4 linked regions of the Oryctolagus cuniculus genome follow. The protein of the gene in region 1 interacts with the protein of each later gene in a biochemical or structural test. Links are inferred from orthologs where the notes say so. Each region holds a gene or a part of one and is shown in the gene's direction. Other genes may lie near its edges.

Region 1 (7,077 bases):
TGTGTGTTGATAAGGCTTAGCAATTTTGAACTTCACCTTTACACTATCTTTTATTTGGGAAAAGCTGGATGTTAGTATCTTTAGGTATTTCCCCTTAGACTGTCAGAGGACCCAGAGAAGAGGCTTCCAGGCTCCTGTGTGGAGGGTATCCGAGAACTCCTGGTTACTGGTGTTTCTGGAAGCTGAGTTGGGAGGATGACTGGCATTCTTGGTATTCATTGTATCAGCCTACTCTTAAAACCTCATTTTTGGGGCCGGCGCTGTGGTGTAGCGGTGCCACCATCCCATATGGGTGCCGGTTCGAGTCCCAGCTGCTCCGCTTCCAATCCAGCTCTCTGCTGTGGCCTAGGAAAGCAGTAGAAGCTGGCCCAAGCCCTTGGGCCCCTGCACCCACGTGGGAGACCCGGAAGAATCTCCTGGTTCATGGCTTCAAATCGGCACAGCTCCTGCTGTTGCGGCTAACTGGGGAGTGAACCAGAAGATGGAAGACCCCCTCCCATCCCCCCCCCCTTCCCTCTGCCTCTGCCTCTCCTCCTCTCTCTGTGTAACTTTCAAATAAATAAGTAAATCTTTAAAAAAAAATTTTTTTTTTCAGTATAATGTTCTTGCCCTTACCTGTACATGGTGTCCCCCCAGCCCAAAGACATTTCCAAAGATTAAACCTTTTTGACTGAGGTATAGAAGAGGATTTGGGAGGGATTGATCTGGGTATCTGCTTCTTAAACAGCTATTCGACTGCCTTTTCTTATTTATTTATTTATTTATTTATTTATTTTGACAGAGTGGACAGTGAGAGAGAGAGAGACAGAGAGAAAGGTCCTCCTTTGCCGTTGGTTCACCCTCCAATGGCCGCCGCGGCCGGCACGCTGCGGCTGGCGCACTGCGCTGATCCGATGGCAGGAGCCAGGAGCCAGGTGCTTTTCCTGATCTCCCATGGGGTGCAGGGCCCAAGCACCTGGGCCATCCTCCACTGCACTCCCTGGCCACAGCAGAGGGCTGGCCTGGAAGAGGGGCAACCGGGACAGAATCCGGCGCCCCGACTGGGACTAGAACCCGGTGTGCTGGCGCCGCTAGGCGGAGGATTAGCCTAGTGAGCCGCGGCGCCGGCTTTTATTTTTTTTTATTTTGAAGTCCCATCTTCATTTTCCCTTCAGAGGTACCTGGAACATAAATTTCTGGGGTGTGTGTAGTGGACACGAAACTGCTCTGTGCTTTCTCTGCTGCTGGTTTAGTACTCAGCTTCAGTCAGCTTCTAAACTAATGTTGCTGTTGTCTCCTCTCCCCTCATCCTTGTTTAAAAAAAAGAAATTCCTTTTAATCCACTTTTCAAAGAAGATAGAGCTAAATGTGTTTGTTGGTCCTGCTCCCTCTAACTAGAAGTCCACTCTGCCCTTTTTCCTTGGTCAGGGGTAAGTTGTACCATCACTTGGAGGTGTCAAGTATGTACTTGGGTAAGCAGAGAAAATACTTCATTTTTCTTTAGAAAGTAATGGTAAGAAATCTTAACACTTTTACATGTTTTTGTATGTTGAGGTCAGAGTTGTTACTGAAAAAGCTGTCATTTTTGCCTTAATGAAGTGCTTTTTGCTTTTATTATAGATTCGGTTTTCCAATTTGGCAGCAGCACGGCAAATTTCAACTTCACAAGCAATAATCCAGCAGGAGTTTTCACATTTGGTGCAAATTTTAGCACACCTGCAGCCTCCACCCAGCCGTCAGGCTCCGGGAGCTTTCCCTTTAACCCGTCTCAAGCTACATTTACAGTGGGGTAAGAGAACGTTTTGGTGAAATGGGAAATTTACATTGATTATTTTAGGTATGTGATGTTTTTTTTTTTTTTTTTTTTTTTTTAAATTTTTGACAGGCAGAGTGGACAGTGAGAGAGAGAGACAGAGAGAGAAAGGTCTTCCTTTGCCGTTGGTTCACCCTCCAATGGCCGCCGCTGCAGCCGGCGCACCGCGCTGATCCGATGGCAGGAGCCAGGAGCCAGGTGCTTTTTCCTGGTCTCCCATGGGGTGCAGGGCCCAAGCACCTGGGCCATCCTCCACTGCACTTCCTGGCCATAGCAGAGAGCTGGCCTGGAAGAGGGGCAACCGGGACAGAATCCGGCGCCCCGACTGGGACTAGAACCCGGTGTGCCGGCGCCGCAAGGTGGAGGATTAGCCTATTGAGCCACGGCGCCGGCCTGATGTATGTTTTGCTGTTAAAAGTCATCAAGGTGCAGTGAAATGTGTTCTCCCACATCAGTTTATCACACTGTAATTTGAGGGGTCATAAAGCCTGAGAAGTTAACAATAATGGGTTTGCTTAGGTATAATAGTAGAAAATGTGTTTCTTTAACAACATAAGTCTTATTTTTCCCCCTTATTGGTGATCATGTTAAATGATTCTGGAATTTTGCTTTGGTCATTGTGTCACGTGAGGTTTTTTTTTCAAAGGTCAAATGGGAAAAGCATGTTCTCGTCTTCTGGAACTTCAGTTTCTGGTCGCAAGATAAAGACTGCTGTTAGACGAAAGAAATAAAGGTCACGATGGTATTACGTGCAACAGTTTGGCAACAGCTGGTGTCCTGCTTTCAGATACTGGATTATACTGTGTGCTGGGGTTATCTGAACTAAGATTTGCCTAAGGACTTCTTAAATTTTGGAATTTTCCTCCTTTTCTTTATGGAAGCCCTACCCCTGCCTCTGCCACTTCCTTATAAAAAAATAATACCTAGACTGGTGACTGATTCTTCAGCAAAAATATTTTATGATCCAGCAAATTATTCACTGATTTGGCGTAGTCTGGCTGTACCCAGGAATAGAGCCTGCACGGTGAATGGCTTTGTATAGAACCTCTTCGTGTGCACCGCCATGTGCATTAATAAGCGTTTATGGAACACATTGAAATTGTAACTATATCTGAGGAATTCTGTATAGATTAGGATTCTGTGTAGATTAGAGGATGTTGAAATGAATGATTTCTATGCCGAGTTTGTGCTGATGTGTGTGAAGTGAGTGCGTCGGGTGTATCGTGCACTAAAATTTTCTGATAGAGGAAGCCTGATTAAAAAGAGTGGTCCATGCTGAGGACTTGTTAGATCTCACTCATCCTACATTTAATAATTATATGCTACTTCTCTATTTTCATTCCTCTAACTATCGCCTGTCTTGCCTTTTTCATTATTTTATTATGAAACTTGTGTAAATACAATTTTGTTTCTGTACTGTTTTGGCATAACATAAAGTCTGTGAACTTGAAATTTTAATTTTGTGTTAGAATTTTTTTCGTTGTTGTTTAGTCTTGTCTCAGATTTTATTATGTAAATCCCATTATTCAAAGTTGCCTAAATCCATTTGGAAATCTTTAAAAAAAAATTGGGGATTCTTAAAGTTGAATTTATTGGCTTTTCTGATCCAGTTTTATTTGGACCAAAAACCAGTATTGTACAAAGTATTAAGCATATATTTTTATATTTACTGAAATGGACTGTGGTGACTTTGGATAATAAGGAAAAGTTTAATATTAAAGCCATGTTTATTACAGTATAATTAACATGTTAAACCATGGGATAAATGCCATCAATAAAAAAATTACGAAGCACTTTTTGTTTTAGTTTTAACTCAAAATGAAGGTTCACAGTATTAATGGTCAGGGACTTTTCTCTGCAGATTAACAGTGGTCAGATACTCCAAAGAACACATTTTAAGTGTTCTAGACAACATCTAGGAGGAGGAGAAAATATTTGAGTTTGCAGCATATAGGAGGCACACTGCTTATTTCCTGGTGCTAGGAATCATACCTAATTTTCCACGTAGATTTACATACCTTTTTTTAAAAAGTTGGAAATAAATACCACAACCATTTGTCTGTACTTGCGTTTTCCTTGATAGGGACAAGACTGATTATTGATTGAATTCTTTTGGATACCTAAAACAGTTCACAGATACCGTGGTGTTCTTTTTGTATAATTTCTTTTGGATTACTGTTATTTTTTTTTTTACATCCATCCCCCCCCCCCCCCCCCACTGTGGCTCACCATAGAGCTCTTGGAACAGTATTTGATAGTTTTATTTCCCTTGAATGTATAATTATTATTTGGTGCATGCTTTTAATTGCTGGACTTTGGTTGGCTGGAGTTGAAATTTGGAAATGAATTTCTGAAGCCTTGGGGGCCACCATTGTGTGGCGCAGCAGGTGAAGCTGCTGCTTGTCACCAGCATCCCATAGGAGTGCCAGTTCAAGTCCCAGCTACTCCACTTCCATTCCAGCTCCCTGCTAATGAATCTGGAAAAGTAGCGGAGGATGGCCCGGGGGCTTGGGCCCCCCTGTACCCATTTGGGAGACTGATGGAGTTCCAGGCTCCCGACTTCAGCCTGGCTGTTGTGGCCATTTGGGGAATGAACCAGCAGATGAAAGATCTTTTTTTTTCTGTTTCTCTCCACCTCTCTCTAACTCTGCCTTTCAAATAAATAAATCTTAAGAGTAACTAGCCTTGCATTTAAGACTGCCCATATTGGAGTACCTTGGTTCAGTACCCACTTAAACCTCCTGACCCCAGCTTCCTGATTCCAAGGGCCCTGAGAGGCAGTGTGGAATGCCTCCAGAAATTGTGTCCATTGCGGACACCCATGTAGGAAGCCTAGGTCAAGGCAGTGAATGTTTGTCTTTCTCTGCCTCTTAAATATAACACTTGGGCTGTTTTTTTGTTTCCAATGAAAAGATGTTTTTCTGATCTAAAATATCTTAGGCCATCCTCTGGTGCTAGTTTGGGTTTGGAAATTCTGTATTTTGACTTGGTTAATGCTACATATTTGGGGCTGGTGTTGTGGTGCAGTGTGTTAAACCGTCACTTGGATGCCTGCGTCCTATAAAGGAACGCCCGGGATCATCACCACGTCTCAGCTCCTTCACTTCCTGTTAAAGCACCTGGCGGGCAGTAGGTGACGGCCCAGGTGCTTGGGCTCCTGCCACCCCCATGGGAGGCAGGTAGAATTGCTGGCTCCTGTCTTCGCACTAAGAGAGATCTTCCATCCACTGGTTTGCTCCCCTAAATGCCTTCAACAGTCAGAGCTAGGCTAGGCAGGAGCTAGGAACTCCAAGTTCTCCCATGTCAGTGGCAGGAACATCATCTGTTGCCTTCCAGGTATTTTAGCAGGAAGCTGGATAGGAGGCTTGGAGTAGCCATGACTCACTGATACAGGAGGCGAGTGTGCTATATGTTTGATACTTAGCTGTTTGGAAGGGGAGGACGAATAGTGGTGAGTGCTGGAAAAGGTGTAACTGGGAATCTGTCTTTGCTCAGAAGTTACTGCCTGGGTCTGGCGTTGTGTAGTATGTTAAGCCTTAGCTTGCAATGCCAGCATCCCTTATGGGCACCAGTGTGAGACCCTGCTGCTTCAATTCTGATCCAACTCCATGCTAATGCACCATGAAAAGCAGTGGAAAATGGTCCAGATGTTTGGGCTCCTGTACCCATATGGGAGACTGATGGAGTTTTAGCCTCCTGACTAGCCTGGCCCAGCCATTGTAGCCATTTGAGGAGTGAATCCACAGATGGAGATTCTCTCTCTCCTCCCCACCACCATCACTCTCTCCTCCGCCCCCTCCCTTCCTTTTTCTCTCTCTCCCTTCCTCCTACACATACACACACCCTCTCTGTAACTGCCTTTCTAATAACAAATAAGTTAATGCCCAATTACCTTGCAGTTCAGTTCTTAGCCATTCTGTAGGCCCAAGAGGTTGGAACATTGGGCTTTCTACTTTTCTCTAGAAATGTGTTACTTTCTCTAGAAATGTATACTTTTTCCTTTTTTAAACAAATTCTTGAAAGCTGTACTTAAGCTGGCTTTTGATAAAGATGAAGTCTTGGGGGTGTGTTTAGCTTAATTAATGATTAAGATGTCTGTGTCCCACATTGAGTACCTGGGTTGATTTCTGCCTCTGACTCCAGCTTCCTGCAAACCCTGGAAAACAACAGTAATGGCTAAAGTAACTGGGTTCCTGTCACCCACATGGGAGACCTGAATCTGCCTTTGCCTTTGCAAAAAAAAAAAAAAAAAGGGCTTCCCAAGTTTTTAGGACCCTATTCAGATTTTGATACTTTTTTTTCTTTCTTTCTTTTTCTTTTTTTCTGACAGGCAGAGTTAGACAGAAAGGTCTTCCTTCCGTTGGTTCACCCCCCAAACAGCTGCTATGGCCAGCGCACTGCGCTGATCCGAAGCCAGGAGCCAGGTGCTTCCTCCTGGTCTCCCATGGGGTGCAGGGCCCAAGTACTTGGGCCATCCTCCACTGCACTCCCTGGCCACAGCAGAGAGCTGGCCTGGAAGAGGGGTAACCAGGACAGAATCCGGCGCCCCAACCGGGACTAGAACCCGTGTGCTGGCTCCGCAAGGCGGAGGATTAGCCTAGTGAGCCGCGGAGCAGGCCTAGACCCATTTCTGATCTACTCCCTGTGATTATAACTGCCCCTTGAGTTACATGTTTCATGCCTAAGAGGTAATTGAGGACTATTCGTGGAACAAAGGGAAACATGTTGAAAAGGAAATGTGACGAATGGCTTTAATGGAAGAGACTGAAGGAACAAAAAGTCACATGCGGTAAGTTAATAATTGGGTGCATTTACATAATGTGGCCAGAGTGTCTAGTTCTAACATATTACTTGATGGCATGTGTCAAATGTGTGTTCTTAATTGCTCTCACTGGGCCCAGATGGGGTCCAAAAACAAATACCTGGAAGATGTTTGGTGCACTGAGGTCGAGGCTACTCCAACCACATTTAAGCAAAATGTTGTGTTGATTACAACTCTAGGCATTAAGAAAAAACGGGTTCTATAGCAGGCATTGTGGGTGCAGCAGGTTGAGCCACTGCTTGGGACATCCACATCCATGATGAAGCACTGGCAAGTCCTGGCGACTGCACTTGTAGCATTACTGCTGCTGCATCCTGGGAGGTAGCAGGTGATGGACTAAGGACTTGGGTTTCTGCCAGCCTCCTGAGACCCAGGTGGAATTCCTGGTTCCTGGCTTTGGCCTGGCCCAGCTCTCACTGTGGACTTTAGGGGACATCTGGGGAATAGGCAGTTGGAAGATCTA
Region 2 (7,964 bases), on another chromosome or scaffold:
AATTATCTTCACCTTGCTGTGGAACCAGTCGGCAGAACTTTGTCATCTTGTGGAACTGAAAGTGGATCATTGAGTACCAGCTCCTTTCCCAGCCTCTGGCCACCAGCGTTTCTCTGTGTTTGCTCTCATACTTCATAAAAGCGGGATCACACAGTGTTTGTCTTCTGTAGCTGGTTTATTCCACATACCATGATGCTGGAGGCTCATTCATGTTGTAAGGCTGACTCATGTTCAGGAACTCATCTGGGTCTCACGTGGGATGGCAGGGGCCCAAAGATATACAGATATACCACATTTTGTTTAAAATCATCCATTTGGGTTGCTTCCACATTTTGGCTATTGTGAATAATGTTTTTTATTTTATTTTTTATTTGAGAGGCAAGAGTTAACAGAGAGACAGCTATCTTCCATCCACTGGTTCAGTCCCCAAACGGCTGCAAAGGCCGGAGATGGGCCAATCCAAAGCCAGGAGTTAGGAGCTTCTTCTGAGTCTCCCACACAGTTACAGAGGCCCAAGCACTTGGGGCCATCTTCCACTGCTTTCCCAGGCCATAGGCAGAGCGAGCTGCATTGGACAGCTGGGACATTAACCAGCATCCATATGGAAGTGGAGGCTTAGTCTACTGTGCCACAGTGCCAGCTCCAATAATGAGGTTTTTAACATGGTGGCAGATTTCTTTTGAGACCTACTCTCATTCTTTTGGCGGTGTATCCATGAGTAGACTTCATGGCTCACAGGGTCTGCAGGTAATTTTGGGGGTATGCTTGTTTTTGCTGGTTTTTGGCCTTGTGTTGGAAAGGTATAAGATGACAGAGCAACCTTTATTTCTAATTGATTAAAAAACAGGGCTTTCCTTTTAAATTTCAGATGTAGAAAGGTAACAAATGAGGTTCTTCACTCTGTTCTCCCTTTTCTCCTGACATTGGATGGAGCTTAGCCATCTTGCAGAAAAACACATTTGGGGGTCTCTAAAATAAAGCAGATGTTTTGCATCCTCTTAACATCTTTTTGTGACCTACGTTTTCCTGTCTACTTCCTGAACTCTAGTTAGTGAAACTCAGTTTGTGGATTCAAAGATTTGGGACTTCTTAAGGGCAGGTTCTAGCAGACCCTGGAGGTGAACTTCATGGCCTTCTCCAGGCCACCACTGTTCAAGTAGGAGTTGCTGATGATGCCAGGCTGTGTGGACCCAAGGAGATGAGAAGTTTTATCTGTAGAGCCTAGGAATTTTCCTGTGCATAGTTTTTGCTTCCCTGATTATTTTTATTATTCTTGCAGTCCGAAAGGCACTTTATTATGCAGGTGGTCTGTGAAGCCACACAGTGTCCAGATACGAGGGTAAGTGTGAGATCCTACAAAAAATCTGTTTTAAGTCTTCCCTATGAAATGCCAACTCTCACATACAGTTTGAGATACTAGGAGTCAGACTAAAGAAATAAGGTTTGCTTAATACTAACTAGATTACTAACAATTTTTCTCCAACATATTGGAGAAGAAGGAATAAAAGTAGTCGTATACTACCTCAAAAGTTATTTGGAGGTTGCTGTCCTCTTAAAGGTTTACTTTCTTGCCCTAGGTTGTCCGAGTGATTGTTCAAATATAGCCATTGAAACAGGTTTAGCTGTTGCCCTAATCTAAGTGCGACTCCTAAGCAGGTGAAAGTGACACATTCAGTTCGAGTAAGCACCAGTGAGTTTAGCTCTGTGTGTGTTGCACAGGTGCTTTTAAAGCAAAGGGAAGGACTAGAAAACTGGAGGGAGGGATCATGAAAAATGGAGGGCAGATAGCTTTGGGGAGCAGTGACAGACAGCACTGTCATGTGTGCTTCCATGAACCTTCAGATCACTGACTCAGTTGAGTGAATCTACATTTGTGTCATTATTATTTTAGTAAACCATTTAATCTCTTTAAAGGTACGCGTGGCTGCTTTACAGAATCTGGTTAAGATAATGTCACTGTATTACCAGTACATGGAGACATACATGGGTCCTGCTCTTTTTGCAGTAAGTATTTTGATTTTATGTGATTTGCATTTATAGCTGATTGCAGAGCCCATCATTCTCATTGCCGTTTGGTTCATTCTGTAATCTTCTACTTACTGTTAGGAAATCGGGGGAATCTGAGAGTTAAGTTTATGCCCAACAGCGGTGTGCCCAGGAAATGTGGGCTATCTTCATGTTGGTAAACAGTGTACTTAAAAAACCTGTTTACCTTTCATTTCAGACCTAACTTTCATAAGTTATAGTTGAAACTGGAATGTAGTTGAAGAGGGGATTCTAACTTGAATCAGTACTTACTTGGGGCTTGGGTTTTCTTTTTTTTTTTTTTTTTTTTTTTTGCTTAAGATCACAATTGAAGCAATGAAAAGTGACATTGATGAAGTGGCCCTACAAGGAATAGAATTCTGGTCCAACGTCTGTGATGAGGAAATGGATTTGGCCATTGAGGCTTCAGAGGTGAGCGGGGAGCTGTTACTCCGGCCTGTGAACATCATTCTTTCTCCCGGGGAAGCGTTATTCCGGGTAGACTTGGGGGGGGCACCACTTGCAGGGTTTTTCTGCTGCGGAAAGGCCCTCTTTATGGAGACCAAGAATAGTTTTTGACCCTCAGTAGGGCGTGACTTACTGAAAGTACTGGTAGGAGCACCATGAACACTAGGGGGCAGCAGGCTGTCACGGTTTTCCCAGGTGATGCCTAACGCTCACTTCTTTCCAAGGTCCTAATGCAAGTCCAGGATGTAACTGGTGAGGGAACCAGATAAGGGGAAAGAGGTAACTTTGAATTCAGACTTTGTTTCCAGCCTTGCTTATCTTTATTTGCTTCAAAAAAAATCCAGACTTATTTTTAGCATTTTTCTATCTCTTGATCCAGAGAGCACTTAGATGTCAGGTTGTTAATAGGAATCGAGCTTATGGAAGAGTAATGTAATTCTTAAAGTGGCCTTGGTCCTTTAAGGCAGATATATGTATATGTGTGACCTACAAGAATCTCATTGGAGGAGACTCAAATGCTGAGCACCTCCAGAGATCACAGTGAAGGTCTGTGATCGCTCCTTACCGTGTGTTTCTCTTACAGACCCCTAGGCACCTCTCGTTATAGTTATAGCCCTTGCTATCTTAGCTTGTTGGCTTTCTGTTTCTCCTTAGGCAGCAGAGCAAGGACGGCCCCCTGAGCATACCAGCAAATTTTATGCCAAGGGAGCACTACAATATCTCGTCCCGATCCTGACACAGACACTGACTAAACAGGTGAGTTCTTGGCCAAATCGAACCAGATGTGCTACAAAACTTGATTCAGGTTGGGTTGGTGGGGAACAGTTTCCATGACAGGCCTGGACCGCCCATCTGTGTAGGTAACTCAAGAACAGCTGAGCTGGATCTGTGAGATCCCTGGGGCCCTGAGCAGAGTATGTGGAGATCTGGGTCTAAATGTCCCTGATGGGTCTCCATCAGGAATGAGCCACACACTGCTGTGATTGCATGAATGCTAAACTGTCCGGACTGACAGAGAAGAGCTGTTTGTTCCAGGCTACTGGAATATCTGTTCCTCTGTCTCTCTCCCCCAAGAGGACGACACGGCGCCGAGGCACTGTCTTGTCTACTTCCCTCCCCCATTATTTTCCCTTCCTGGCTCTATCTGCTCCTGAACTATGCCCACGTGGGTGTGTATTTACTTTCCCACCTTCTAAATAAACTTCACCACTTGTGCACCAAAAAAAAACTTTGAATATCTAGGATGGATGCTTTCAGGGTTTCACAGAATATATTTTTAAATGCTGATAAGGGTTGTGTGTGAGTTTTTCATATGGAACTCTGTATTAGAATTAATATGGGGGGGGGTCAAAGAAATTGCTCTACTGATCCTATAAGACGATTAACATAAATATAAATATAAATACAAGGCAAAATAAATGGCAGTAAGATTTCCCAATGATTTGGGTGTAGTTAGGAAAAGAACAGTTACTGTTAACACATCTGTCATGGTGCCATTTTTCTCTTAACTGGAGGTATTGTGTCACCTGGCATCTGGTTTCAGAAGTTCCTGTCTCCTCATCTTTTCCACACGTGACATTTTTGCTGATAACTTGGAACACTGCAAAATGTGTTTGTACAAATGAATGTAATTGTTTTGGGGGATTTACATGACTTTATATAACAGCAGTGTAAAAGATAAGTAGAGAGATGTTTGGTTTGAAATGGACTTGGTATTCCCCCGTAAGTTTTCATCTCATCTGTCAATTGTGTGGGTTTTTTCGTTTGTTTTTTAAAGAGTTGCAGAGAGAGGGAGAGACAGAACCAGTGGCCAGTGTTGGGACAGACTAAAGCTGGGTGATCCAGCCTGGTCTCCCACATGGGTGGCAGGGGCCCAAGCACTTGAGCCATCCTCCACTGCCTTTCCCAAGCCATTAGCAGCAGGGAGCTAGATTGGAAGTGGAGCCGCTGGAACATGAACCAGCACCCGTATGGGATGCCGGCGCTGCAGGCAGCAGTTTCACCTGCTACACCACAATACTGGCCCCTCATTTTTAATTTTTTGCAGTAGCTTTTTTTTTTTTTTTTAAGATTTATTTGAAAGTGTTAGAGAAGGGGAGAGACAAACATCTTGTATCTACTGGTTCACTCCCCAGGTGGCCACAATGGGCCAGGCTGGAGCCAGAAGCTTAATCTGGGTCTCCTGTGTGGGTGTCAGGGGCCCAAACACTTGGGCCGTCTTCCATTGCTTTTTCTAGCAGGGAGCTGGATCAGACACCTATATGGGATGTCAGCGTCACAAGTGGCAGCTTTACCCGCTACGCCAGCCCCTTACAGATCTAGTTTTTTATCTTAAGTTATGTATATGGTTTTCTGAAACTGTGTAGGCAGCCAGCCTTAAATTACTACATATTGTGAATGGCTGCAATAAGGAACTTGGACCTGAGGTCATAATTTTTTTGTTGGACAGATAGGGATAGAAAGGTCTTCTATCCACTGGTTCACTTCCCAGATGGCTACAACTGGGGTTGGGCCAGTCTTAAGCCAGAGGCCTGGAACTCCATCTGGGTCTTCCATGGATTGGCAGGGGCCCAAGTACTTAGGATATCTTTTGCTGCTTTCTCAGATGCCTCAACCAGGGGCTGATGGACAATGGGGCAGCTGGGACTCAAACCAGTACTCAGAGGGTTGCCATAGTTACAGGTGGTGGTGGCTTAACCCGTTGCACCACAATGCCGTCCCCTGTGACTTTGGATTCTAATACAGTCCTTTTTTGTGTGATTTTTGTTTATGAACATTTATTGAATTGTTTTTATTTATTTATTTATTTGAAAGTCAGAGTTACACAGAGAGGAGAGGCAGAGAGAGAGAGAGAGGTCTTCCATCCACTGGTTCATTCCCTAGATGGTTGCAATGGCCAGAGCTGTGTCAACCCGAAGCCAGGAGCTTCTTCTGGTCTCCCATGTGGGTGCAGGGGCCCAAGGACTTGGGCCATCTTCTGCTGCCTTCCCAGGCCATAGCAGAGAGCTGGATTGGAAGTGGCGCAGCTGGGTCTCGAACCAGCGCCCATATGGGATGCTGGTGCTTTAGGCTAGGGCATTACCCTGCTGCACCACAGTACCGGCCCCACATTTATTGAATTGTGACTGTTAATAGCACCTCAGAGGCTGTTTTCATATATTCTTCCCACTTGTGAACCCCCTTGCTTTCTTGACCTTTAATTCCATAGATTAATTTTGGTAGATTTTTGGACCAAAATCATGTACCTTCCGCTTATTTGGTCTGGCTTTTTTTTTTTTTTTTTTTTTTTTTTTTTTTTTTTTTTATTTCAAAGGCAGAGGCAGAGAGATCTTCCATCTGCTGTTTCAATCACAGCTCTGCAATGGTCAGAGCTGTGCCTATGCAAAGCCAGCAGCCAGGAGCTTCTTGCTCTCCCACGAGGGTGCAGGGGCCCAAGCACTTGAGCCATCTTCTGCTTCCCCAGGTCATGGCAGAGAGCTGAATCACAAGTGGAGCAGCCGGGTCTTGAATTGGCATCCATATGGGATGCTGACACTACAGGCTGCAGCTTCACTTGCTGCGCCACAGTGCCAACCCCCTGCTCTAAAGTTTTGTTTATTTGAAAAGGAGAGGGACAGAGGGAGGAGTCTTCTGTTTGCTGGTTCATTCCCCAAATGCCCTCAACAGCTGGAGCTGGACCAGGCTAAAACCAGGAAGCCCAAGTTCTTGGGCCATCATCTGCTGCCTCCCCAAGTGTCTTAGCAGAAATTACATTGGAAATGGAGTTGCTGGGACTTGAATCAGCACTTGACTAATGGGATATACATGTCCCAAATGGCAGCTAAATTTGTACCACAAAGCCCATCCATATACATATTTGAGACTGATGTTTGTTGTATGCAGCCAAAGTTTGTTCATTCTGTTGTTTTGTGTAGTACTAGGTAGAATCTTTCATCTGCATCTTGTATGAAGATTTGTAATTTAGTATTTTTGAAAGGCATTTGAAAGAAATCTTCCATCTGCTGGTTCACTCCCCACATGACCACACCAGCCAGGGGGCGGTGTCAGGCTGAAGCTAGGTGCCCAGACTCCATTTGGGTCTCCCACGTGGATGGCAGGAATCCAAGCAGTTGAGTGGTCTTCCACTGCCTTCCCAGGTGCATTAGCAGAGAGCTGGATCCGAAGTGGTGCAACTGGTAATTGAACTGGCCCTCATGTGGGATACTGCCCATGCAGCTTAACCTGCTACACCACAGCGCTACCCCTTATTTTGTAATGTATCACTGTGGAAGAGATCAAATATAAAGGCTTGGTGTTGTATACTTCCTTGGAGTTTACGTTGGAGTGGTCAGAGAACCTTTTGAATTAAAATCATTCTTAGCACCACGTTCTTTCACCAGGATGAAAATGATGATGATGATGATTGGAACCCCTGCAAAGCAGCAGGGGTGTGCCTCATGCTCCTGGCCACCTGCTGTGAAGATGACATCGTCCCCCACGTCCTTCCCTTCATTAAGGAGCACATCAAGAACCCGGATTGGCGATACCGGGATGCAGCAGTGATGGCTTTCGGCTGTATCTTGGAAGGACCAGAGCCCAATCAGCTCAAACCACTAGTTATACAGGTGAAACTAAAGGAATTTGGGGGTAGAAAGTCAAAGTAGGATTTTTTTTTTAATGGCATAAGTCCTATGACCCAGGAAGTTGGAAATGCAGAAAAGGCCACAAAGTTTCCCCTTAATCCCTCTTGTCCGGGTACCCTCTCAACTTGATATTTATCCTTGCAGCTTTGTTAGATATTGCTTCCAAAACTAATGATGGGATTAATAGTCCATCCTTTGGGCAGAATGGTATCTGTAATAAGGATCTCCTATGGAAGTAGTGTGTTTTTTTGCGTGGTGTAATAGAACTTGGTGCTTTCGGATGTGGCCTGGTGCCGTCCTAACTGCATCCTGGAAGCTGAGCGTTCAGTGCAGCCTGCTGACAGTACCCACACCGCATCAAGTGGAACTGGGGTTTGATAAAGGGAGGAGGACTTTCATAACTCACTCTATTTGTATTAGTTTTGACAGATGTTTCAAGCATGTGTTTTATAAAAGATTTTAGGGATATATATATATATATATATATATATACATTTTTTAATTTGGTAGAGCTATAGAGAGTGAGAGAGAGAGAAAGGTCTTCCTTCCGTTGGTTCACCCCCCCAAATGGCTGCTATGGCTGGAGCTATGCCGATCCGAAGCCAGGAGCCAGGTGCTTCTCCTGGTCTCCCATGCGGGTGCAGGGCCCAAGGACCTGGGCCACCCTCCACTGCCTTCCCGGGCCACAGCAGAGAGCTGGACTGGAAGAGGAGCAGCCGGGACTAGAACCCGGCACCCGTGTGGGATGCTGGCCCTGCAGGCGGAGAATTAGCCAAGTGAGCCACGCGCCAGCCCCAGGGATATTTTGAGTTAAAATCCATTTGTCAGTATTTCCTGTTTTGAAGTAGC
Region 3 (7,964 bases), on another chromosome or scaffold:
GCGGCCGGCGCGCTGCGGCCGGCGCACCGCGCTGATCCGATGGCAGGAGCCAGGAGCCAGGTGCTTTTCCTGGTCTCCCATGGGGTGCAGGGCCCAAGCACCTGGGCCATCCTCCGCTGCACTCCCTGGCCACAGCAGAGGGCTGGCCTGGAAGAGGGGCAACCGGGACAGAATCCGGCACCCCGACCGGGACTAGAACCCGGTGTGCCGGCGCCGCTAGGCGGAGGATTAGCCTAGTGAGCCGCAGCGCCGGCCTTTTTTTTTTTTTTTTTTTTTTTTTTAATTCAAAGGCAGATTTACAGAGAAGCAGAGAAAGAGAGAGAGGTCTTCCATCCACTGGTTCACTCTCCAAATGGCCGCAATGGCTGGAGTTGTGCCTATCTAAAGCTAGGAGCCAGGAGCTTCTTCCGGGTCTCCCATGTGGTTGTAGGGGCCCAAGGACTTGGGCCATCTTCTACTGCTTTCCCAGGTCATAGCAGAGAGCCGAATTGGAAGTGGAGCAGCCAGGACTTGAACCGGCACCCTTATGGGATGCTGGCACTGCAGGCTGTGGCTTTACCCACTACACCGTGCCAGCCCCTAAAAAAACTTTTAAGGTTTGGCAGAAAGTACATAAGGAATGCCATATGGGGTGTGCTGTTCAGTCTTAGTTGTATAGAATTTCCATCTTTTCTCCTTTTCTCATTTCTAGATTCCTCATGGCAGAAAGTATGACAAGTCATGGCTCCTGAACATGATTCAGAGCAAGTGCAGTGTCCCATTCACTCCCATTGAGGTAAAGCAGGGCTTGAGTGGCCAACTAGCTGGGCACCACGGAGGGCAGAGGGGTCATCTGGACAAGGGGTTCTGGTCTTTGAGATTAAGTAATGCTCTTGTCTCTTCTTACAGTTTCACTATGAGAACACACGGGCTCAGTTTTTTGTCGAGGATGCCAGTACTGCCTCTGCGTTGAAGGCGATCAACTATAAAATTCTGGATAGGGAGAACAAGAGGGTATGTTAAAGAGCTTGGTTGGACTGGAGGTGGGGATTGGTCCTTGGGCTGTTTTCCCTGGCGTTTACTCTGCCCTTTGTCCTCCCTCCAGATATCCATCTTCATCAACTCCTCTACCCCACCCCTCACTGTGCAGAGTGAACTGAAGCCAGAACAAGTAGAGCAGCTGAAGGTAGGGCTGGCTCAGGTTACGTGTGCTTGCAGCCCAGTCTTCCCACTTCGCATGCCCCAGCCCCATACCCACCGTCCCTGTGATGGCCGAACTCTTCCCTGGTTCCTCTGTAGGTGATCATGAGCAAACGCTATGACGGCTCTCAGCAAGCACTGGATCTCAAGGGCCTGCGTTCAGACCCAGGTACGGCTGGCAGCAGTAACTCAGACAGGTCACGTAAGGGGGCTCTGTCAGGGAGGGAATGTTGAAGAATGATTAGTGCTGCCGCTGGCCTGGGCAAGTCCTCTCAGATTTTTCTTGCTTTCTTTTCTGCTTCCTGAAGATTTGTTGGCCCAGAATATCGATGTTGTACTGAATCGTAGAAGCTGTATGGCAGCTGCCTTGCGAATCATTGAAGAGAATATTCCAGAGGTGAGGCCTTTGGACCAGTATCAGGCGTGGGAAGCAGCGAGGGATCGATGGCATGGGGTCAGCGACAGACTTGCCTCTGATCTACTCACTAGCAGCACTAAACTCTTTTCTCCCTTATAGCTCTTGTCCTTGAATTTGAGTGACAATAGGCTGTTCAGACTGGATGACATGTCCACCTTGGTACAGAAGGCACCCAACCTAAAGATCCTAAACCTCTCCGGGAATGAAGTAAGAATTGACGGGCTGGCTGTGCTTTTGATGGGGTGGCCAGAGGACATAGTGGGCTTGCCCGGTGATGGCGACAGGCAAGAGATGAGAGTCGGGATGGGAGGTGTGAAGTCCAACTGATGTCTCACCAGGTTCTCTCCTCCCTCTTTTCCCATCTTTTGCAGTTGAAGTCTGAGCGAGAATTAGACAAGATAAAAGGGCTGAAGCTAGAAGAGCTGTGGCTTGATGGAAATCCCTTGTGTGACACCTTCCGAGACCAGTCCACCTACATCAGGTCAGTTGTGGCCTCTGTCTTCCCTCCTGGGGACCTTCACCCCCTGGGAGGCTGAGCTAATGCACCCTGACCAGTGCCCGTCTGCAGGAGATGTGCAGCCCTGAGCTGGAACCACCTGTCCTTTGGGAGGATCACGTGCTCCTCTCTCGTCTGTCCATGTCTCCCAGCCTTGCCCTGAGATCCCCTGTCCTTTGCTTTTCACCTGACCGCCTGTTTGCTGGTTCTTTGGCCTTTCTCCTTCCTCCCTGAACGCAGCCTTTTCTGGAACTTGCCCACCCTATTGTTCCAGGAAGGACATTTCCCCTTTGTGCTCTGACTAGGAGATGTCTCTTATGTGCCCCATAAATGGGGTTGCCTTGGGCCTAGAGCCTGGTGTCCTTGGGCTGAGAAAGCCCTCCCCACTTGGAACTTCCTGCTAAGACAACTTTCTCTTCCTTTGTCCTGTGATGGCCCCTCTTGCCTTTGTGCCAAGAGGGACCCTTTCTCATAATCCAGTTGCCTAAGGCTGTTGCCTGGGCTTTCCGGCACATGCTGAGGTTGAGGCCTCATGGGGGCTGGTGCCCTGCAATCTCTCTGCCTGGTGCTGTGAGCTGGGCCCTCCCTGGAGAAGAAACCTGGGTTCCCCAAGACATGTGACCAGAGCTGTGGTCTCGCCAGCAGGCGTGGGAATCCCAAGGAAGGTGCTGGGCGTGGAGGCCACGGGGGCATAGGCTACCAAGGAGACAGAGAACTGACCCTGTCAGGGGCACTGCCCCGCTCTCACTCGCACACCTCACGTCACCCTGCTTGGCCCCGGAGGATGGCTGGTTAGCCAGAGACGGGTAAGATTCCTCTGGGAAGGAACAACCTAAGACAGGCACAGTCGCAGAGGGGCCATCAGGAGAGAACTTGGGGGCCAACAGAGGTGGGGCACAGACCCTCACCCCCCCAACTTTGCAGGGGTATGAACCCTCACCCCTTCTGAGGGCTGTCTCCTGCCCCCGTGGCTGCTTTGCTTCCCACGCCTACCCAGCTCAGATCGGGACCCAGGTGGCAGATAGAGACCTGGCCAATAGCAACTGCCCGCTCACCACAGCAAAGATTTCTTCCCCATTTCTGCCTTGGACCACAGGGAAAGGGCAGCTAAAGGAAAAGGCTGTATCCAGGTGTCTTCCTCTCCTATCCTCTTTGATGGAAATGCCTCCTTGCTTTGTCGCTCTTTTGTTTTTCTTGGCTTTCTCTTGCCTTTTCCTCCCTACTTCCCATTGCCTCCTCTGTCTCTCACTTGTCCCATCCCATTCTCCCTTTTTGCTTCCTCTTCTTTTCCTGTCTTTTTCTGTTACCTCCCCTCCCCATGAGCCCCGCCTTGCTCATCTCCCTGCCCCAACATCCTGTGCCATCCTGTGGTGTGCTCTGGTCTTGGCCAAGGCCAGACCTGGCAGAACTGATGGATACCTGGTGAGGCAGCGGAGCCCCTGGGCTCCCACCCCATTCCCTTCTCCCTGGGCTGCACAGGTGAGTAGGTGGAAGGTAAGGGGGGCAGGGAGGGGAAGGATGGCCTGGGCTTAAAGCCTGGGCTGAGAGTGCTACTCTTGTGGCACTTGGGGTTAGGCAGAGAGAAATGTGACAGCCTTCAAGGCAGTCCATGTCTGGGAGCCCTGGGTCAGGTGGGGAGTGTGGGCCATTTTTTCTCTGAGCACAGGCTGGGGAGGAGTGGGGGGATGAGCAGGATGGTATGGGCTACCCTTGGGCCCTGGTGTATTTGCTCCTATAGCAGCCCAGGAGGCACGGTGGCCCTGAAGCATCACTCACTTCTGTCCCATTCTTGACAGCGCCATTCGTGAACGATTCCCCAAGTTGTTACGCCTGGTAAGTTGACAGCTGTTTTCATTTTCTTCTAAAGAGTATAATATCTCCCACTCCCTCTGACAAAAGCTATAATCCTGCTTCCCAGGAAATGCTGCTAGGCAAAAGTTGCATATGTCAGGGTTCATGGACACTTTTCATACTTCTTTCACACTTCTTGCCTGTCATTTGTAGCTCTTCCATCTAGGTAAGCGTGTAGCCATTTTTCCTCTGGTGTATACTCACCTTTCACTTTATCTGCATAGGATGGCCATGAGTTACCCCCACCAATTGCCTTTGATGTTGAAGCCCCAACACTGTTGCCACCCTGCAAGGTGAGAACGGGGACATAGCTAGAATGTGGGGGTGGGGGTACTGGTTCCATGGTCCTAATATCTGTTTGATTCCAGGGAAGCTATTTTGGAACAGAAAACCTGAAGAGTCTGGTCCTGCACTTCTTGCAGCAGTAAGTATCCCAGGGCCCCAAGGCTGCAGAGGGGTTTGGCTGTCCAAAGCCCGGTTCATTCTTGGGAGCTGCTAAGTCCCTCTGTGGCTGCAGAGCTTAGAGTTTCCCTTTTTCTTTTTTTCCTCCCACAGGTATTATGCAATTTATGACTCTGGAGACCGACAGGGGCTCCTGGATGCCTATCATGATGGGGCCTGCTGTTCCCTGAGCATTCCTTTCATCCCCCAGAACCCCGGCCGGTGAGTTCACGTCCCAGAACCTGCCCAAGCCTTCAGGGTTTCCCAGCAGGAAGGGACCAGCTCTGCTAGCAACCAGTGTTCGGACCAATGCCTCTTTTTCCACTAGAAGCAGCTTGGCAGAGTACTTCAAGGATAGCAGAAATGTGAAGAAGCTTAAAGACCCTAGTAAGTGTATGATGTGAGCAAAACAGGATGGGAGGGAATCGGAGCACTTAGGATGGTTTGGCAGCCCCAACTCCCTTCCTCCTCCACCTCCAGCACTGCGGTTCCGATTGCTGAAGCACACACGTCTCAACGTGGTTGCCTTCCTCAATGAGTTGCCCAAAACTCAGCATGACGTCAATTCCTTTGTAGTAGACATAAGCGCCCAGACCGTAAGTGCCTATTTCTTTCCTGATAGACGCCTTAAATTGGGGGTGAGGGTGGAGGGAAGCATTTAAGAGGCAAAGGGGCTCAGGTCCTACCAAGAAGCCTCCAGTGTCCCTAATGCTTCTTTTTCAGAATACATTGCTGTGTTTTTCTGTCAACGGTGTCTTTAAGGAAGGTGAGAATTTGGGGGGGTCCTGAGGTTATAGCATGGTCCCTCCTCCATCCAGAATCTTCTTCAGCACTCTTAGTTTCTCAGCTACCTTCTGTCCCCTTTTCTTTCCTGATCTCCTCCCATTCTGCCACCAAGCCATTGTGCTTGGGCCTGCCTTCTCCACCTATCTTGTCTGCAGTATAGGAAAAGCCTGGGATAGATTAGGAGGACACAGACTTTGGAGTCAGAAAGGTCTGGTTTTCCATCTCAATCTTGATTCTGTGCATCTGTGTGCAAGTTATTATCTCTGAGCTTCATCAGCATCTTCCTTTGTATTCTGAGATGGAGTTGGTAACAGCCAGGTCTTAATGGTGCCATAGGAAGTAAATGAAGTGACTTTTAAAGTACTTTACCCCTGGCACAATACACAAGTGCTCTGTCAGTGGGTTAGTAGTTGTTAGTATTATTATCCTTTCTGACCTCTGACCCTTTGCCCCCCCTACACTCCCCTGCACATGACATAGTTATCCCAGTGTGGCCCACGCGGGGTTCTTTATAACATAGAAGACAGAGAGCTGAGAAGCTATTTCTAAACATAAAGCACAAGTGCCTCTAAAAGGTGGTTGCCGCTCTCTTTGCAGTGGATGGAAAGTCCCGGGATTCTTTGCGAGCCTTTACTCGGACATTCATTGCCGTTCCTGCCAGCAATTCAGGGTAAGTTCCCGGTTTACCAGGTTGGGTACCAATCCCAGTTCATGGCCAGCAGCATGGTAATTGGAGGGTAGAATCAGTCCTCAGGATGTTTTCAGAATCTGAAAGGCAGTGGCAGATCACAGGAAGTGGCTCCCATCCTGGTTAAGGGCTTGGCTCTGGAGTCGGACTGTCTGGGTTTTCATCTTGAGTTTACTACTGGCCATGGACCAGTTTCTTCATCTGAAAATATTATAATAATATTCACTTCCTAAGTTTACTGTGAAGACAGATAAAATACACAGGGGCTCACAGCTGTCTGTGGTCAGATGAGAAACTATGAGTTCAATGTGTTTGGCAGAACATCCTTCCAAACACAAAGCCCAGAGGACAAACTATGCAAATGGTAAAAGGCAGCAGCTAACAGTGGGAAGGGGACTTCGTAGGGTCGCTGAGAAAAGGAGTGATGTTTGGAGATGAGGTTCTTTGACCTGCTGTTGAAGGTGTTTCTTGTCCCCCAGGCTGTGTATTGTAAATGACGAGCTATTTGTGCGGAACGCGAGCGCTGAAGAGATCCAGAGAGCCTTCGCCATGCCGGCCCCCACACCTTCCTCCAGCCCCGTGCCCACCCTCTCCCCGGAGCAGCAGGAAATGTTGCAGGCGTTCTCTACTCAGTCTGGCATGAACCTTGAGTGGTCTCAGAAGTGAGTGCTGAGCAAGTGTAGGAATAGGGGTAAACTGAGGTAGGGCTGGTAATGATTGAGGATTGCTCTATTGGTTTATAAAAATCTGCCCTCAGGCCAGCATTGTGACACAGCTTGTGGTGCCTGCATCCCATATCGGAATCCCAGTTTGAGTCCCAGCTGCCCTGCTTGCAAACTGACCTCCAAATGTGCCTGGGAAACCAGTAGATAGATGATTGGCCCAAGTGTTTGGGCCCCTGCCATCCATATGGGATCGCGATGGAGGTCCTGGCTGTATAGAAAATCTATAGTTACAATCCATACTAGGGATTCTGAAGTGGTAGGTAGTGGTCAGGGTGACTGCATTTTGGTCCTCATGGAGCCACCTGTTCTTCCTCCACTCCAGGTGCCTTCAGGACAACAACTGGGACTACACCAGATCTGCCCAGGCCTTCACTCATCTCAAGGTAAGGTTTGGGAATACAGTGGCAAATAAGAGGACGCTCTGGCCTTTCAACGTGGTCAAGTAAGCTGGGCACGGGTGGCATGGCCTTGGCTCTGCTGACCTTTCATTTTTCTCCAGGCCAAAGGTGAGATCCCAGAAGTGGCATTCATGAAGTGATCCGGTGTCATGTCCCAGAAGCCCCCTGTAAATAGCCTCTGGATACTGTCCGGTTGTCATCCGTCTTTGTCTCCTCCTGTCCGGCCGGAGGCCACCCTGTGACTGTGACCGAGGAGGGAGGGCTGCTGAATCCCTCTCCTCACCCGCCTTCTGGAAGACTTCCGGAAGATTGAGCCTCACTGGTGCCAGGAAGCCAAAGCGTACTTTATAGAACTGACACTAAACTACCCGAAGGACTTAGGTGCTTTGTGTACTTAACCCCAGGATCCTCCGTACTTTTTAAGATAAAGAGTGACAGTTGTATTTTGTGTCCTGCGTGCGGGATTGTTTGGCTTCTGCCTAGAGGGGGCTCCCACGGCTGTGAATTTCCAGGGCTGGAGGCGGGCTTACGGCAGGAAGTCCCGCCCCGGAAGTGGGCCGGCACAGACCATGGCGGCGCCCTGCTCGCGGTGTGTCTTTGGGCTTCTCCGTGCGCAGCCGCCTGTGTTCCTGCATCGGTCCCTGTACAGTGCGACCCCACCGCGGGACGTGCTCCTCTTCCAGCATGAACGGGGCCGCTTCTTCACTATCCTCGGGCTGTTCTGTGCGGGCCAGGGCGTCTTCTGGGCTTCCCTGAGCGTGGCCGTCTTTTCCCGACCCCCAGTCCCAGCGCAGCCTCGGGATGCAGCTCCTAGCCGCTGGGACCTGCGTTCCGCCCTCTGGCGGTATGGGCTCGCCGTCGGCTGTGGCGCCATCGGTAAGTCTGGCTTCCCACCACGTTGCACGACCCTCTCTGCTCAGCAGGGAACTCAGCCTTCCCGGATGGGCTGGAGAGGCAGAGGTCTCCCCTAGAGCACCCTCTG
Region 4 (8,462 bases), on another chromosome or scaffold:
TAAAAGCTGTACATGTGAAATTTATATTCATTAAATAAAAGCCTTCTAAAAAAATATGATTGGAGGCAGGTGAGGCACAGAGAGAGAACACAGAGGTTCGGATTCTGGCTGTTCCTCTTCCGATCCAGCTGTCTTCAATGGCCTGGGAAAGTAGTAGAAGATGGCCCTAGTCCTTGGGCCCCTGAACCCGCATGGGAGGCCCAGAAGAAGCTCTTGGTTCCTGGGTTCTGACTGGCACAGCTCTGGCTGTTGAAGCCATTTGGGGACTGAACCAGCGAATGGAAGATCGGTCTCTCTCTCTCTGCCTCTTCTTCTCCCTCTGTTTAACTCTGCCTGTCAAATAAATAAATACATCTTTTTTAATTTTTTAAAATTTATTTATTTGACAGGTAGAGTTACAGACAGTAAGAGAGAGAGAGAGAGAAAGGTCTTCCATTCCATAGTTCAACCCCCAAATGGCCACAACATCCGGAGCTACGCCAATCTGAAGCCAGGAGCCAGGTGCCTCTTCCTGGTCTCCCACGTGGGTGCAGGGGCCCAAGCACTTGGGCCATCTTCCACTGCCTTCCCGGGCCACAGCAGAGAGCTGGACTGGAAGAGGAGCAACCAGGACTAGAACCTGGTGCTCATATGGGATGCCAGTGCCGCAGACGGAGGATTAACCTAGTGTGCCACGGCGCCGGCCCCTCAAATAAATAAATAAATCTTTAAAAATAAATATGGTTGGCCAGCGCCGTGGCTCAATAGGCTAATCCTCCGCCTTGCGGCGCAAGCACACCGGGTTCTAGTCCCGGTCGGGGTGCCGGAGTCTGTCCCAGTTGCTCCTCTTCCAGGCCAGCTCTCTGCTGTGGCCCGGGAGTGCAGTGGAAGATGGCCCAAGTCCTTGGGCCCTGCACCCCATGGGAGACCAGGAGAAGCACCTGGCTCCTGGCTTCGGTTCAGCATGCCATGGCGGCCATTGGATGGTGAACCAATGGCAAAGGAAGACCTTTCTCTCTGTCTCTCACTGTCCACTCTGCCTGTTAAAAAATAAATAAATAAATATGGTTGGAGCACCGTGGTATAGTGAATACAGCTACCACCTGTGACACTGGCATCTTTTTCTTTTTGCTGAGCTGGTTTCCCAAGCCTTGTTCATGAGAATCCAGAACCTTAATTAGACAATTATTCCCTGGAGGAAGCAACTTATGGAAAAATCCTGTAATGCACGAGGTTGATCCTTGTGACTTATGACTTGGGCTCCATTTGGAACCCTCCAGAACCACTCGAGAGGTTCACCCTGTCTGACTCAATGGGGTATTTCTCTCCCACTCTTCTCTCCCTCTCTTCTGGCTGCTTCTCAGTTTTAGCTGTTCAGGGACATGCATGTCTCTCTCTCTCTCTTTTTTTTTAGGTTCTCCCTACGGCCAACCAGAGTTAATTTTAGGGTTGCCACATGGCCTATATTTTAAGTCAGTTCATCCCAAACATACCTGAATTTGTTGAAAATCTGACCATTTTTTTCTCTAATAGAAAATGAAGCTTAAGTTGCAGATTTATCTTTATTAGTAAATAAGAATTGCACTATCAATTTATCTTCTTCAATTACAACAAAGGACAAGAGGGATCAGGCTGGAACTAGCATGGAAGAGGGAAAGGGGGGTGGCTGTTGCAGTGGTGAGAGGAATGATCATGCCCTAAAGGACAGTAGTTCTGATAGATCTGTAGAGAAAGCAGCCTGCCTATAAAAACTGGAAAGCACAGACCAGACAAGTTAAAGGACTGTAGGAGAAGGAAGGAAAAAAGTGAGCCATGAAGCACTTACTTTAGCTGTGCTGGACACTGCCTAGGCCCTTCACATAAACACAATTAATTACTCAGCCCACAGATCTGAGATGCAGGTTTTACTAATCCCACTTTATAGGTTGGGAAAAAAGCCGAGGCGGGGCTTGATGCTATTTTTCCACAAAAGGCAGCCCAAGCCATTTATAGTCAATGTGTATGAGTTTTGTAATGAAATCCAGGACAAGAAAGGAGTGCACCTGGCTTTTGACATGACAAGGCCAGTGTTATTACTAGACAGATTCAGCAAGATGAAAGTTGGTTCCTAGAAGGAAATTAACCTTCAGTGTGGTTAATTATGCTGGATTTTAGGCACATTAGGCCTAAACCAACAAAACCTCCTCTATGGATCCCTAGTCCTGCGTGAAATGGCTCAGAACTCTGTTCTGGCAGGGATCGGCAAAAACAAACTTGAGTTTTTTTAAATCCTTTTTTTTCTTTTTAAACATTCTGGGAATGCTGCGAAAGGGAAAATTTGCAAGACCAAAGAATGGGTTGGTGGGCTGGGTCTTCATTGTTTTGTGGAGGAAGAGGGGGGTGGGGCCCTGGAAAAGCTTGAAGCAGCAGCTCCTGGCTGGGGGAGTGCGGGAATCTTTTTGGGAAACTGCGGCATGTATCTGGAATAGCCCGTACAAGCTTAAGCAATGAAGTTGTGCCCTTCCTGCAGTACTAGGTTGCAAGTTTTCCCAGCCGAAGGCGCAAATCTCTACATCCTCGTAACTCCACGAGGCCTTGGGATTATCTCCTGGCCCTTCGGCGAAGAGCTCCTGGATCCGGGAATGGCTGCCGTGGGGGTGAAGTTGCGATTAAGGGTAATCCCTCTCCTTGGCCAGTGGATGGGCAGAGGCCCATGCCCCTACTGTGGACCACCGGACAGTGAAGGCACCAACTGGCAGAAAAGTCCCAGGTGGGAGCAACTATAAGGATGAGTCTCCATTTCTTCATTGCAGAGGGTAACTAAGAGGACTTGCAGGCCGTGGCAGGAGATAGGGAGGTTGGGGAATGTGAGGGCGGGCAGCACGTTGGTGTGCGTTGCCCCACTCATTTCTGGAGATATCGTTTGCTAAGGACTTGTGATAATGGCTGAAGTCTGTAATATTGAAGCTTTCTCACGTTTCATGGCTCTTACGAACTTTTAGTATTGAATTTGTGCCTGTACAATGAATGAGGCAGGAAAAAAAAAGCAAACAGTTTGGTTTGCACTGTGGTCTAGGAGACTTGATCTCAATTATTTCTCAAGTCTTGGTGACCAGATCAGAATAGGTTGCTATTCCAAAGAAACGAGCAGTTTTCTGATTAATTTGGAAGGGAAACTGCTCTTTTGTTTGGAGAATCCCTTAGTGAGTTTCTTGCAAGTTCAGGAAAGTCTGGGACTCCAGCCTGAACTGAATTGCAGGTAAAAAAACAAGTGGGGTTCTGGGATTTGTGTAGCATGAGAGCTCCCAGGATTGTTTCAGGGAGGTAACCGGATTTTTTTTTTTCTTTTTTATCACTAATCAGGATGAGACTTGTTCTACAGTTGATAATTAACCAGAGTTGCGACCTCTAGATTTTAGAAGGAAGTAATGAGACTCACTGTGCCAGGCCAGGGGAGCAAACAAGTGTATTGCAGGCCACAGGTGTCTTCATCCTCACCTCTGCGAAGCCTTCTTTAGGAGTCTGCTCTTTACCCTGCCTCAGCGCATAGTTTTCCTTTTTCTGGGTCCCCTGCACTTTGCACTATCCTTTATCACAGCAACCAGTCATTCCGTATTGTAATCTAGTTTCTCCCGGTAGAGGGAGGGATCTCAAGGCCGAGGGACTGACGCTGGTATTTATACCTTGGTTCAAACTTCAGCTATACCGCTAGTCAGTTTTGTGATTTCCATTTCCTTTATTTGAAAAACGGGCGAAAAGACGCCCTATTGCCTAGGGTCGCTGAGAAACCTGAAGGAGGTATAACACATTCAAAAGTAGGGGGAATATGTCAGATAAAGGGCGACTGAGCCGGTAGTCTTTTGTTAATTAGCCTGACCTACCTTTATCCTGTATACTCAAAAACTTATTGAGCACTAACAGCGCTCTAGGACCTCGGATGGCTCCGGGGTATGGCTCTCACGTGTGGCTTGTGGGCCTTGTCTCACGGGCCGAATCGGGACTGGTTCCGTACAGAGGAAGCCCCGCCCCCGCCCCCGCTCCCTCGTCAGTGATTGGCCCGGAGATCGTTCTGCCGTTTCTGGTTGCCAGGATCGCTGGTAGGGGGCGGTACTAGGTTGCGCTTGCGCATATCGAGGAGGAAGCTTTCCGGTCGGGCGGGAGGAGGTGACGTCAGGCGCTGTGGCGGGCGGGCGCCTCCCCTAGCTGTGTGGACGTTTTATCTGTGGGCCTTGTTGTCACGTCACAAGTCAGCGACTAGGTCTTGGCGGTGGTGGCCGAGTCGGGGAAGGCGGCAGCGGCGGCGACAGCTCTGGGGTTTGCGTCTCGGGGTGTGTCGGCCGCCGCTGCTGCTCAGGCCTGGTATGTACAGATGGCTGGTTAGGATTCTCGGCACCATTTTCCGTTTCTGCGACCGGTCAGCGCCCCCCTCCCGGGCCCTTCTGAAGAGGCGGCGCTCGAACAGGTGAGCAGAGTGGGCTGAGCGCTGGCTTGGCCGTGCCCCTCCCCCACATCAGGCTCCTCGGCGGGCACTGCGCTGACCCAGCCGGGCGGGCCCTGCTCTGCTTAAGTGGGTCGGAGAAGTGCGGGGCGCGGGTATCCTGATGACGTAGTCGCGCCCATCAGGCTGGTGTGTGGAGGCGCAGCTCGTGATGAACGAAGGGGCTGTTTGTTTTTGGAGTTGGAGGGTGATGGTGGGCTCTTTAATATTCTTGTCAGAGTCCAAGCTGGTGGCTGGCAACACATGGGATTTGGCACGTTTTGCTGCTCTTAGGCTGAAAAATAAAAATTGAAGGAGTGCTGTCTGTGCTGCGGCTCTGTCTACGAAGCACACTCCCAGCTGTCAGTTAAGGGAAGTGAGATTCATAGCTTACCCAAAGCCCTTTTGACTGCGAGTACTGTTCTTTTAGCACCACAAACAGCAGCTGTCTTGTTCTGAAACAGCTGTCAAACAGTGTGTGTGCGGGGCCCCCTGGGGTGAGGGGGGGGGTTGCTTCTGTGCTTTAGAATTAGTATATTAGAAAAAAAAAATTAGGTGCCAGCTCCTTGTTAAAGTTCACTGGTCCATTCCTAAAATTTGGGAGAAACTAAAAACTCTTCCGACTTAGTATCTCCTTGGCTTGTCTCATAGGGTCCCACCTTCCATAAGAATCTAGAAAATAAAGTACCACACAAATTCTGTACACCGCCCACCTTTTCAGCTCTCAAGTGTAAATTTGAGTTTTTTTTTTTTTTTTTTTTTTTTTATTAAGCTGGTCAAGGTCAAGGAAAAGTAGGGAAAAGATTGGTTTCTGGGAGCTTGAGAGAACAAGATGGTTAATACATGAGTCTGAGAATGTAGTCATCAATAAGTTTGATCGCATATACTCCAGAGAGACGTGGTTTCAATTTACTCCTCTTTTTGAGCTTTCTGTAGGGTTAATGTGAGGATAATTTGAGAACATGTTGTAAAGTGCCTAAATTGATGCTTAATATGTATAGAAGTAGTTTATTCTACCCTAAGGGCTTTGTTCAGAATCAGGTGCAGGATAAACATTTGGTGCATACTTAATGTTAATTTACTCACGCTTGTTCTTTCTTTTTGATGTGAATTTCTGCTGATGACTGGGAGTTCTTTACTGCTCTTTAGGGATTCACATCCTTTATCTAAAACTGCTCTTCTCAACATAAGCCAATTTTCAGTCAGGTCTTGAGATGTTTAATGGCAGAATGTTATTTTCCTTGGATCTCATTCTGTTAAATTTTTTAAAGATTTATTTATTTTTGGAGAGGCAGAGCTACAGAGAGAGGGAAAGACAGAGAGAGGTCTTCCATCCTCTGGTTCACTTCCCAAATGGTCGCAATGGCTGGAGCTATGCTGATCCAAAGCCAGGAGCCAGGAGCTCCTTCTGGGTCTCCGATGCGAGTGCAGGGGCTCAAGCACTTGGGCCATCTTCCACTGCTTTCCTGGGTCATAGCAGAGAGCTGGATCGGAAGAGGAGCAGGCTATGTGGGATACTTGGCACTGCAGACGGAGGCTTAGCCCAGTATGTCATAGTACCAACCCCATCTATTAGTTTATAAAAATATGATTAATCATAAGGATTCAGAAAGATGATTACTAGTATACCAAGATACTAATATTCTTGACTTGTTGGTTTAGAAACCTTCCTGATTCCAAAGTCTTTATTGTGATGTAGTTTCCCATGATAGAAATGTAGTTAAATGTAGTTAAATGTATTATCTTTTGCTAGCTAAGAACAGTCTTAAGACTGCATATGTGTCACTTGAAGTAAAACAGAACTTTCTTTGGGGTTGTCTTTCAAAGGGAACTTATTTACTTGTTTTTAAATTATTTCTGTACAGGAAAAGAGAATAATAGGCCTAGGCCTTCCAGGTTCATCTACTAGCTAAGTGACTTCTGCCCACTTTCAAGTTTGTACTTTAGCCTACAGATTATTACATGGTAGAGAATTGGGTTCTTTCTCAGATAGTTGAAACCATAATTCTTCAAATGCTGAAGAACTATAGAATAGCATTCTCTTTTTATTTTAAAGGTTTGTTTTTGTATCTGAAAAGCAGAGTTACCCAGAGGGAGAAGGAAATGGAGAGGAAGATGGAGAGAGAGAGAGAGAGAGAAAGAAAGAGAGCGATAGCGATAGCTATCTTCCATCCACTGGTTTACTCCCCAAATGGCCTCAAACCCTGCTGAAGCCAGGAGCCTGGAACTCCATCTGGGTCTCCCATGTGGGTCGCGGGGCCCAAGCAGTTGGGTCATCTTCCACTTCTTTCCCAGGTGCGTTATCAGGGACCTGAATCAAAAGTAGAATAGCGGGGACTGAAACTAGTGCACATATGGGATGCTGGCTTAACCCACAGTGCCACAACACTGGCTCTACCACATTCTCCACATTTTTTAAAGAAGTATTTTATTTGAAAGCGTTACAGAGAGAGGTAGAGCCAGAGAGAGAGGTCTCCCATTCCACTGGTTCACTCCTCAAATGACCACAATGACCAGAGCTGACCCGATCCAAAGCCAGGAGCCAGGAGCCTCTTCTGGGTCTCCCACATGGGTGCAGGGGCCCAAGGACTTGGGTCATCTTCCACTGCTTTCCCAGGCCATAGCAGAGAGCTGGATTAGAAGAGGAGCAGCCAGGACTTGAACCAGCGCCCATATGGGATGCTGGCGCTGCAGGCTGGGGCTTTAACCCGCCATGCCACAGTGCCGGCCCCAACATTCTCTTTTAAAATGTTAATTGGATCTTATTTTATGACAAAGTGGGTAGAAGAGAGGTATGTTATATGAATACTAGATTTATCTACAGAAATGGATATGTGTGCGTTTATGCGTTTATTCATATATACCAGTATATGCTATTTTTCTTTTCTCTTTTCAGCACTCTGTTTTCTACAGTGGACACTGATGAAATACCAGCCAAAAGACCAAGATTAGGTACTGAAAATTTAAAAAAATTAATTTTTGAAAGGAAAAATGCTTGGAATAAAATTCAAAATGTGAAAATTATGTATAAGCAGTGAAAAGTCTCTTTCCTTTTCCTTTCCTATTTAATTATCTTTTTGTTGTTAAGATTTTTATTTATTTATTTGAAAGGCAGAGGTATAGAGAGGCAGAGGCAAAGATGGAGAGAGGTCTTCCATCTACTGGTTCATTCCCCAAATGGTAGCAACAGCCAGAGATGGGCCAATTCAAAACCAGGAGTCACAACTTTCTTTTTTTTTAAATTTTTTTTTTATTTTTGACAGGCAGAGTGGACAGTGAGAGACAGAGACAGAGAGAAAGGTCTTCCTTTACTGTTGGTTCACCCTCCAATGGCCGCTGCGGCTGGCGCGCTGCGGCCGGCGCACTGCGCTTATCTGAAGCCGGGAGCCAGGTGCTTCTCCTGGTCTCCCATGCGGGTGCAGGGCCCAAGCACTTGGGCCATCCTCCACTGCACTCCCTGGCCACAGCAGAGAGCTGGACTGCAAGAGGAGCAACCGGGACAGAATCCAGCGCCCTGACCGGGACTAGAACCCGGTGTGCCAGTGCCGCAAGGCGGAGGATTAGCCTATTGAGCCGTGGCGCCGGCACGAACTTCTTTCAATTCACCCACACAGGGGCAAGGGCCCAAGGACTTGGACCTATTCTGTTTTCCCAGGCCATAGAAGAGAGCTGGATTGGAAGTAGAGCAGCTGGGACTTGAACTGGTGCCCATATGGGATGCTGGCACTGCAGGTGGCAGCTTTACCCTCTATGCCATAGTCTTGCGCCCCGGCCCCCCCCCCCCCCTTTTAAGATTTATTTATTTATTTGCAAGGCAGAGTTACAGAGAGAAGGAAAGAGAGAGAGAAAGGTCTTCCATTCCCTGGTTCATTCCCCAAATGGCCACAATGGCTGGAGCTGAGCCTATCTAAGGTCAGGAGTCCAGAGCTTCTTCTGGGTCTTCCACATGGGTGTCAGAGCCCAAGCACCTTGGCCATCATCTACTGCTTTCCAAGGCCATCAGCAAGGAGATGGATTGGAAGAGGAG

Evidence for each region.
Region 2: the proteins of NUP153 (region 1) and KPNB1 form a complex in vitro, tested with the Homo sapiens proteins (4 studies listed by BioGRID and IntAct, with this or other methods). The link is inferred for Oryctolagus cuniculus from reciprocal best matches to the Homo sapiens genes NUP153 and KPNB1.
Region 3: the proteins of NUP153 (region 1) and NXF1 form a complex in vitro, tested with the Homo sapiens proteins (2 studies listed by BioGRID and IntAct). The link is inferred for Oryctolagus cuniculus from reciprocal best matches to the Homo sapiens genes NUP153 and NXF1.
Region 4: the proteins of NUP153 (region 1) and SENP2 form a complex in vitro, tested with the Homo sapiens proteins (2 studies listed by BioGRID). The link is inferred for Oryctolagus cuniculus from reciprocal best matches to the Homo sapiens genes NUP153 and SENP2.

What each region holds. Positions count from the first base shown.
Region 1 is NC_091436.1:144,855,082-144,862,158, reverse strand, and holds the end of NUP153 (nuclear pore complex protein Nup153), read left to right. Parts: intron 1-1,599; coding exon 1,600-1,768; intron 1,769-2,438; coding exon 2,439-2,523; 3' UTR 2,524-3,585; downstream 3,586-7,077. UniProt on the Homo sapiens protein: Component of the nuclear pore complex (NPC), a complex required for the trafficking across the nuclear envelope. Functions as a scaffolding element in the nuclear phase of the NPC essential for normal nucleocytoplasmic transport of proteins and mRNAs.
Region 2 is NC_091448.1:23,997,505-24,005,468, forward strand, and holds part of KPNB1 (importin subunit beta-1), read left to right. Parts: intron 1-1,279; coding exon 1,280-1,339; intron 1,340-1,914; coding exon 1,915-2,004; intron 2,005-2,346; coding exon 2,347-2,457; intron 2,458-3,147; coding exon 3,148-3,249; intron 3,250-6,872; coding exon 6,873-7,097; intron 7,098-7,964.
Region 3 is NC_091432.1:8,793,190-8,801,153, forward strand, and holds the end of NXF1 (nuclear RNA export factor 1), read left to right. Parts: intron 1-691; coding exon 692-775; intron 776-888; coding exon 889-993; intron 994-1,084; coding exon 1,085-1,165; intron 1,166-1,278; coding exon 1,279-1,348; intron 1,349-1,487; coding exon 1,488-1,576; intron 1,577-1,696; coding exon 1,697-1,804; intron 1,805-1,968; coding exon 1,969-2,078; intron 2,079-3,889; coding exon 3,890-3,926; intron 3,927-4,168; coding exon 4,169-4,237; intron 4,238-4,312; coding exon 4,313-4,368; intron 4,369-4,499; coding exon 4,500-4,607; intron 4,608-4,713; coding exon 4,714-4,772; intron 4,773-4,865; coding exon 4,866-4,981; intron 4,982-5,108; coding exon 5,109-5,151; intron 5,152-5,768; coding exon 5,769-5,841; intron 5,842-6,338; coding exon 6,339-6,521; intron 6,522-6,906; coding exon 6,907-6,967; intron 6,968-7,083; coding exon 7,084-7,122; 3' UTR 7,123-7,425; downstream 7,426-7,964. Other genes in the region: TMEM223 (transmembrane protein 223), read left to right, coding at 7,552-7,858.
Region 4 is NC_091435.1:95,243,201-95,251,662, forward strand, and holds the start of SENP2 (sentrin-specific protease 2), read left to right. Parts: upstream 1-4,106; 5' UTR 4,107-4,319; coding exon of another isoform or gene 4,320-4,420; intron 4,421-6,491; 5' UTR 6,492-6,626; coding exon 6,627-6,730; intron 6,731-7,331; coding exon 7,332-7,387; intron 7,388-8,462. UniProt on the Homo sapiens protein: Protease that catalyzes two essential functions in the SUMO pathway.